2 linked regions of the Neurospora crassa OR74A genome follow. The protein of the gene in region 2 purifies or fractionates together with the protein of the main gene of each other region. This does not show direct contact. Links are inferred from orthologs where the notes say so. Each region holds a gene or a part of one and is shown on either strand. Other genes may lie near its edges. The genes, in order: NCU03748 and NCU01201.

Region 1 (4,345 bases), about 930 kb from region 2:
CATCGGTTCTTGCCCGTTTTCGAGTGGTGCGCTGGGTATTTTGTGCTGCACGTCCTCGTTTGGCTCCTGCTCCTGCTCCTGCTCCTGCTCCTCCTCCTCCTCCTCTTTGCGACAGTTGTTGGGGTTGTGATGCTGCCTGGCTTCCGTACTGGTGCGGGTAAAATTGCCGGCGAACAGCGAGGAGTTCGCGACGGTCGCGCCAGGGTGTGAAGATATACTGAACCATTTCCTCTTTTGCGCCCTTGAAATTCGGTAGTGGTTGTTGTGATGGCAGTTTGGCGTTGTCTCGATCACAGGATCCTGTCCGGTTTTTGGTTTGGTTCGCTGAGTCTTGAGCTTTGCGGTCAGGATGAAATTTGAGTTGGCGGAATCGCGTGGCAGTAGAATTTTCTCATATGACATGAAATATGAAGCTCATCCATAAACACCACAATGAAATAGGAAGCCGGTGCGAATCAGTTGTATGAACATTTCTGTCTCCTTGTCATCTCTTGATCGGTTGTTTTGGTTTCCGCGGTGGTAGTGGAAAAATGCTTGTTTTGTGTCGGACACGGACCTCTCAAACAATTTTTCAATTGCACCGTTTTCTTGGATCACGTTTTGAGCTCTACAGCTCTGCGTGCCCGAGGCCTCACGACCGCTATATTTCTCAAATCACTTCAAGAGACAACCATGATGGGTATCACAACCTGATCAGGCTTATTTGAACGGTTCCAGCGTCATTCGAACAAATAATTCGCGTTGCGAGACGGAAATTCATAAGGGCTTCAACATGCGGTGTCAATTCGTACAACTACCTATTTCCATGCCTACATGCCCTCATAGCCCACTACGGTATCATGGCATGCCTCTCCATGAACCGGGGGGGTTGGACATGCCACCTTCATGAGTCATCTGTACCTTTCCGGGCGAGTTCCCTCCCCTTTTCTCCTTTTTTTCAACCCTGGATCTATTTGGTATCTTCGTATTTCGCTGAAGCACCGCCATTGCACAGCCTTCGATCTACTCCATGTCCGATCGGGGATAAACACCTCCTTTGCGTCCAGTCGCTTCGCTCATGGTATTTAAAACTCGGCGTCCTAGTCAAAGAGTACTCTTCTTCTCTTCATCATCTTCCAGTCCATCAAGAATTTCGCATTGAGCTTAGGAGATGGTCTTCTCGATCATGGTAATACCGTACTTCTCGTGGAGCTCCTTCATCAAGGGCTCGGTGATGTCGGTGCTCATAGGAGCCAGAACGCCCTTGCCAGAGATCTGGCCGCTCAGGACCTGCTTAACAGCGACGGCGCAAGGAACACCGACGGTCTTAGCCATGGCAGAGTAGCCCTTGGGGTCACCGTACTCGACGAGGGTCGAGGTGCGGGTCTCGCGGGAGCCATCGGCGTGCTCAATCTCGAACTTGTGCTGGAGCATGACCAAGTCGCGCTCGCCCTCCTCGAACTGCATCTTCTGCTCAAGAGTGGCGCAGAGGGTGTCGAGAGGGTTGCCGCGGGGGGTGATGGTCTCATCAGAGAAGAGACCGATCCAGCGGAGCCCGCTGAGGATACGCTTCTGGTCCTCGGCGGACTCGAAGGTGGCCTTGGAGAGGATGGCGGCCTCGAGGTCGGCCTGGCTGGAAGAAGCAGCACCGACGATCTCCTTGGTGGCCTCCTTCCAGGGAGTCTGCTTGCTCAGGCTCTCGCGCGCAGTGTCGTCAAGGAAACCGATGTCGACAAGAGTCTTGATGAACTGAGGGAAGCCCTGGTAACGGAGAGTGCCACGGATGACGGTCTGAGCCTCGGGAATGTTGTAGCGCTCCTTGTAAATGGTAGAGTCGCGGTTAGGGTAGGCGACGAAAGCGTAGCCGGGGTAGATGAAGTAGGGCTTGGCCATCTTCATGAGGTCCTTGCCCTCAACCTCGACGATCTTGCCATCCTGCCACCACTTGCCGGCGTTGCGGAGAGCGAGCAAGACACCGCGAGAGGACCAGGAGAACTTGTAACCGAGCGGGTTGTCGGAGTCCTCGGGGGCGGGGAGACCACCGCAGTAGGACAGGAAGGAGAGAATCTTGCCGCCGGCCTGGTGGACCTCATCGATGGTCTTGATGGCGTACAAGTGGTCGATACCGGGATCGAGCTGCCGAGCGACTTAGTATGATTGAAAGCTTCGAAACATTTAATATGTCATGGACTTACACCAATCTCGTTCATGACGGTAATGCCGGCGGCCTTGGCCTCGGCATCGAGCTCCATCATAGCGGGAGAGACGTAGCTAGTGGTAACGACGTGCTTCTTCTGGCGAATAGCCGACTTGATGACGGTGGCATGGAAGGTATAAGGGATCAAGCTGATGACAAGGTCATGCTTGGCGACCTCAGCGTCGAGAGCCTCATCGTTGGTGACATCGAGGGAGATGGGGGTGGCGTTCTTAACACCCTCAGAGAGCTTCTGAGCAGAGGCAAGAGTACGGCAGGCTGTCGCGCACAAGCGCAAATGTCAGCCTAAATGCCCGTATTTTCGTTCCGGACTGTCGAACAAGAGGTGCATTGTTATAATTGACTGTTGACGTACCGACGGTGACGGGAATGCCAGCTTCGCTGAGGACATCGAGAGTAGGGCGGGTGACGAAGCCAGCGCCAAGCATGAGAACCTTGCTGAAGACATGAAACTTGAGGTCAGCATCCCCAGCTCTTGCGGTTGCCCGAGGTGAGGGCAGGATGGCGGGGGAGATGTATGTAGGGGGGGTAAGGGGGATGGCATTACTGTTGGGAAGCCATCTTTGCGACTTGTGATATCTGCAAGCTGATGTGATTCAGACGCAGTGTTTTGGTGTTTGTCAGGTTAAATCCGGAGGAGAGAAAGAATCAGAATTAGATCCCCCACACTGCATGCTCTCAAGCCGGCAATAGGTGACTTCGATGGTGTTATTGCCGTCCTTGTCCGCTAACAACCGATATCCAGACTTGACTCGCACTTCATCGCTCGCGGTTGGAGATGCAATTGGTGGAGCTCCGGCCGATAACGGCTTCTGGTCAGTCGCTTTCTTCCATTTTTTTTTTTTTTTTTTTCCTGACCTCAAACGAGGGGCACCCAAGGCGCACTGGTGTCGTTCCAATTGGCGCCAAGCACTCACTGGCGGGGTAGCAACACCAGCTTGCCTGCCGGACTTTACAGTAGAGGTACAGTCTAGCTGGTCGCCAGTCACTCTTGGCAGCTGTCAACCGATGGGTAGTGCATGTTTCTGGCGAACCACAAACAGGGACTGGAACATACTTGGGGGGTTCTGGGCGCCAAGGCTTTCTTTCCCCCCTACATTCCATGTAGGGGGAGCCGAAAAGTTGGGACGGTATTTTAAAATGGGACATCTGGAATCTTAGCGTTTCCTATACAAAAGTGTTAGCGAAGCGACTTCAGTCAGCAATTCTACTACGAAACTTTTTTCTAAAATTCTAGAAAAATTCAGGTATAGAATTCTTACTTATAGGAACCATTTTAGAAGCTTTGAAAAAATCATCCTTAAAGATGAGTAGATGGTAAGGTCCAAATGTATTTTATACACTATATATTGTCGCTTTCAGTGTGCTGCACTACGCCGAACGAAGGTGATGATTCTATAGTGAAAGATACTTCTATCGCTTCTATCTCCCTAATGTTTGTGCCAAAATTGATGCAATTTTGGGTACGCTTTTCTAGACGTGTCCTTTTACTTCTCAAATTTTCTTGGAATTTTAGAAAAAGGTTCCGTGGTACAATGATGATCGATGTCCCTCCGTTAACACTTTTGTATAGGAAACGCTAAGATTCCAGATGTCCCATTTTAAAATACCGTCCCAACTTTTCGGCTCCCCCTACATGGAATGTAGGGGGGAAAGAAAGCCTTGGCGCCCAGAACCCCCCAAGTATTTGACGGATTCACTTCCCCTGACGGCTGGCCGCTTATTCATCACTCTTGGCTTGATTCAGGGACGTCCCAACAAGCTCACGATGAGAGTCACTATGAACACTCAGCAAGACATCACATTTGCAGGCATGCACGGCGGCCAAGGAATAAGAGATGGTGGTGTGAATCAAGGACAGTGAGATCGCATGTTGTTCAGATATGTACATGTATTTATTTGCAGAGGTGGGTATCTTTGTCTCCTAAACAAAACAGGGAAAAAAAAAAAACGCAAACCAAAACGCCTAGCCACACATTCCTGATGTGTCGATGCATCTTCGATAGGGCTTCCAGCCCATATGCCTTTCTAGGAATCCGTCCCGTAAATGCTATGCGTGTCCCAAACCGTCGCCGGTGTAATGCTTCTTCTCAATATTTCATCATGCAAGTGTCATAATCTCGTGAGTCTTAGTCTTCCTCTTCCTCCTCC
Region 2 (3,386 bases):
TACTAACCTGTGCAACTATAGACGATCAGTTGGGCCTGGTGCTCGATACCCTTGAGGGCGACTATACCCTTGTCATGGTATCAGACCCTAACGAGTTCAAGGCTTACCAGCCTGACTTTATCGAACCAGTCCATATGGATCTCAAGCGCGGACAGTTTAGCTCTCAGGAGGGCAGTGACAACGGCAACACCACTTATGATAACCGCCCGCTGTTTGCGAAGTATCAGTTCTTCACTCCTGGTATGTAATCATCATCTCAAGTCGGCGCTTTTTTCAAGGCAGTAGACTGACACTGAACCAGGCATTTTCGTCGCCCTGCTCGCTCTCATTGTCATGCTCTCCATCCTGGGCGTCGGACTGAAGGCTCTCGGTAGTCTCGAAGTCTCATATGGCGCTTTCGACAAGGAGATGGGACCGACTGCACAGAAGAAGCAGCAGTAAAGCGCTTGGAGGCCCTGTTCCTCGTGTTTTGTAGGGTTTGGGATGCAACGAACAACAGATGTGCATGCGGCAGAACACAAGTTTTGTTTTGCTATGGAATCATGCTATGTATATGGGTTTGGGGGACAGGCCGGAGTTCGAGGGTTCTTGTTCTTGGTTGGGTATCATTAAAGCATTGCGCATTCGTACACTAGAACAAAGCAAGATGGGAATGAAAACAAGAATGCACGCATGAGCAATGATATGCATGAAACATGGGCAATAACTAACTTTGGAAACTTCAACCTGTCACCTTGGTGAAATGATTTTTTTTTTTTTTTTTTTTTTTTTTTTTTTTTTTTTTTTTTTTTTTTTTTTTTACGCCGCTGATATTTGCCAGATAATCCTCTATTGATGTTTTCCCTTACAGAACGCCTTGAAAGTGAACAAGTAAAATGCTGAAATAATTAACCGCCCCTCAAGAAATCATTCTCGCCATACTCTAGTCTCTTCAAGGACAGGACGACTCCTGCGGTAGCCCTTAACCAACCCTGGGCAGTCACCCAAACCATCCATCCATCCATCCATTCATTGCTACCCGCAGGTGGCCAGCCTTCTGGCATCGCATGCATTCCCCGAGTCCGTGTGGTAGGAACCACTTCTCCATCTCTACCACTCCTTGGTGCTTACTATCCGATGAAGATTCCCCGATTCTCCAACAGGTCTCTGGCAACCAGTCCAATTAGTCCAGTTGACACGACCATCCCTGAAAACGCCTCGCCTTGCTGCCTCGCGCTCCACACTCATACCAAGTGGCTAGGCAAGAGGAAGTTGGCCACGCCGTTCTTGACGGCGTACTCGTGTCCGCAGTGGCCGCACACGAGCTTGCCCTCCATCATTTGGGTCTCCATGAGCAGCTCGTGCAGCTCCTTGAGGAGAGCCTCGTCGGACTGAAGATCCTCTGGCGAGGGAGGCTGCTCGGGGAGGGTGGGGAAGCCGAGCTGATGTGTGTGTTAGTTGAGGACGTCGTTGAAATGCTGTTGTTGTTTGGGGTGAAGTGAAAGTGTGGGAGGGTGAGGGAGGTGTGAGATGGACGTGTGGTATTTCTCTGAAAATTGGGGATGAAGATATATTGTAGCTCCATATCGAAATGGTGGGTCGGCTTTGAAAATACAAAAAGAGTTCAACGTACTTCGGTAGAAGTAGTCCGCAGAGCAGCCCAGTCGATGCGAGGCAAGACATTGATCAGAAGTTGAGGGTTGATCTCGATATCATCTTTGGCCAGCTCGGCCTCCTTGGGGTGCAGCGGGAACGAGTCGTTGGATGACTTGCAGTTCTTGACCGCGCAGGTCAGAAAGTTGAGTGTCATGACCTTCATCTTGGTGGGTTTTGGTTGATTGAATATTATGTTTCTCAACTAGTTTTGGATTCGGCCAGCGAGACCTAGAGTTTCGGGGAAGATAGTGAAAAGATGTTCAAGGTTTTCCTGGTCGTGGTTTACGAGTCGGTACTGTCTTACCAAAAATGTAATAAAAAAAAAAAAGTTCGATATCCCAGCGACTCGAACGGATAAAAATGGATCCACGTGATGCTACTTTTATGCTTCGACTTACAGACACGCCACTACATCGCCGAAGCAACCATCACAACCATTACCGCGACTGATATACATGGGAATAAAAGCGAACTATCCGATGATTTCATTTATGCCCATGATTTGATCCTTTTTTTTCTTCTCCCTTTCAACAATACTCGTCTGGGCTACTCACGCCCGCCCAGACCCTGATAGCTACCTGTTATGCAGCCTTGTCAGATTTCAAATATTCGAGATATTGCCTACTCCATGCCCTTTCCGTACGTACCCTTAGGGGCGCGACGAAGGCGAATATACAAAACGAGACCTAGAACTAATACACCAAAGAAGAGGACCTTGGCGAACAAGGGAGCACCAGTGTCATCGTCGTCGGCGGTGGCGGCGGGGATGCTGTCGTGCGCAGGAGGCTTGGCATCGGTAACAGGAACAGGAGCAGCAGGCTTCTCGTCTTCGTTTGCGTACGCGGGAGATGCCCATTCCGACTGGCCTTCCAGGCCTGATGAGAAAAAACACCGACTCATCAGCACATGGACTCATATACACGGGTAAACGGTCATAGGAACAAAACGATCCACAATTGGACACCATTGTAGGTATGAGGATCCAAAAAGTTTTGCTTCTATATCCTTTCCTCTTTTATATGACTTTTCCCACACAGGTTTATGAACAGTTAACGGTGGGGAAATGGGGATTCGCAAGGATGGATAGAAGACGCTTTTTAAAGCTCCACATGGATACCTTCAGGGGGAACCTCAAGCTCGCCACTCTTGGCGATCTTGATAGGCTCAGCAGGAGCATCGCGAGGACCGGTCTTGGTGTTCTCAATCTTCTCGACGACATCGTAGCCCTCGAGGACCTCGCCGAAGACGACGTGCTTGCCATCGAGCCAACTGCGACAAAATGTGTATTAGCCAACCGGGCACTTCCTAGACCATGCGGCTCGAGTGTATTCGACTTACGAGGTGATGACAGTGGTAATGAAGAACTGGGAGCCGTTGGTATCCTTGCCAGCGTTGGCCATTGAGAGGAGACCCTTCTTGGAGTGCTTGAGCTTGAAGTTCTCATCGGGGAACTTGTCACCATAGACTGTACACAAGCGGTCAATGATATGGACCAAAGTGCATAACGGAACTTGGAAGCAACATACTGGACTTGCCACCGGTGCCATCGCCCTTGGTGAAGTCACCACCCTGGATCATGAACTGCTTGATAACACGGTGGAAGGTAGAGCCCTCATAACCGAAGCCCTTCTCGCCAGTGGCAAGAGCGCGGAAGTTTTCAGCGGTCTTGGGGACGGTCTTGCCATAGAGACCCATAACGATGCGGCCGAGGGGCTTGTCGCCCTGCTCAATGTCGAAGTAGACCTTGTGGG

Evidence for each region.
Region 1: the proteins of NCU01201 (region 2) and NCU03748 purify together in Saccharomyces cerevisiae (affinity purification with mass spectrometry; 3 studies listed by BioGRID, with this or other methods). This does not show direct contact. The link is inferred for Neurospora crassa OR74A from reciprocal best matches to the Saccharomyces cerevisiae genes TRM112 and LYS9.

Annotation. Positions count from the first base shown.
Region 1 is NC_026505.1:2,287,099-2,291,443, reverse strand, and holds NCU03748 (saccharopine dehydrogenase), read right to left. Parts: upstream 3,040-4,345; 5' UTR 2,756-3,039; coding exon 2,742-2,755; intron 2,633-2,741; coding exon 2,550-2,632; intron 2,453-2,549; coding exon 2,175-2,452; intron 2,116-2,174; coding exon 1,144-2,115; 3' UTR 760-1,143; downstream 1-759. Other genes in the region: NCU11261 (hypothetical protein), read right to left, coding at 1-226; NCU03747 (hypothetical protein), read right to left, coding at 4,324-4,345.
Region 2 is NC_026505.1:3,220,997-3,224,382, reverse strand, and holds NCU01201 (trm-112), read right to left. Parts: upstream 1,948-3,386; 5' UTR 1,799-1,947; coding exon 1,613-1,798; intron 1,422-1,612; coding exon 1,224-1,421; 3' UTR 788-1,223; downstream 1-787. Other genes in the region: NCU01202 (hypothetical protein), read left to right, coding at 22-240, 302-441; NCU01200 (peptidyl-prolyl cis-trans isomerase B), read right to left, coding at 2,257-2,510, 2,753-2,904, 2,974-3,100, 3,162-3,386. UniProt on the Saccharomyces cerevisiae protein: Acts as an activator of both rRNA/tRNA and protein methyltransferases. Together with methyltransferase MTQ2, required for the methylation of eRF1 on 'Gln-182'.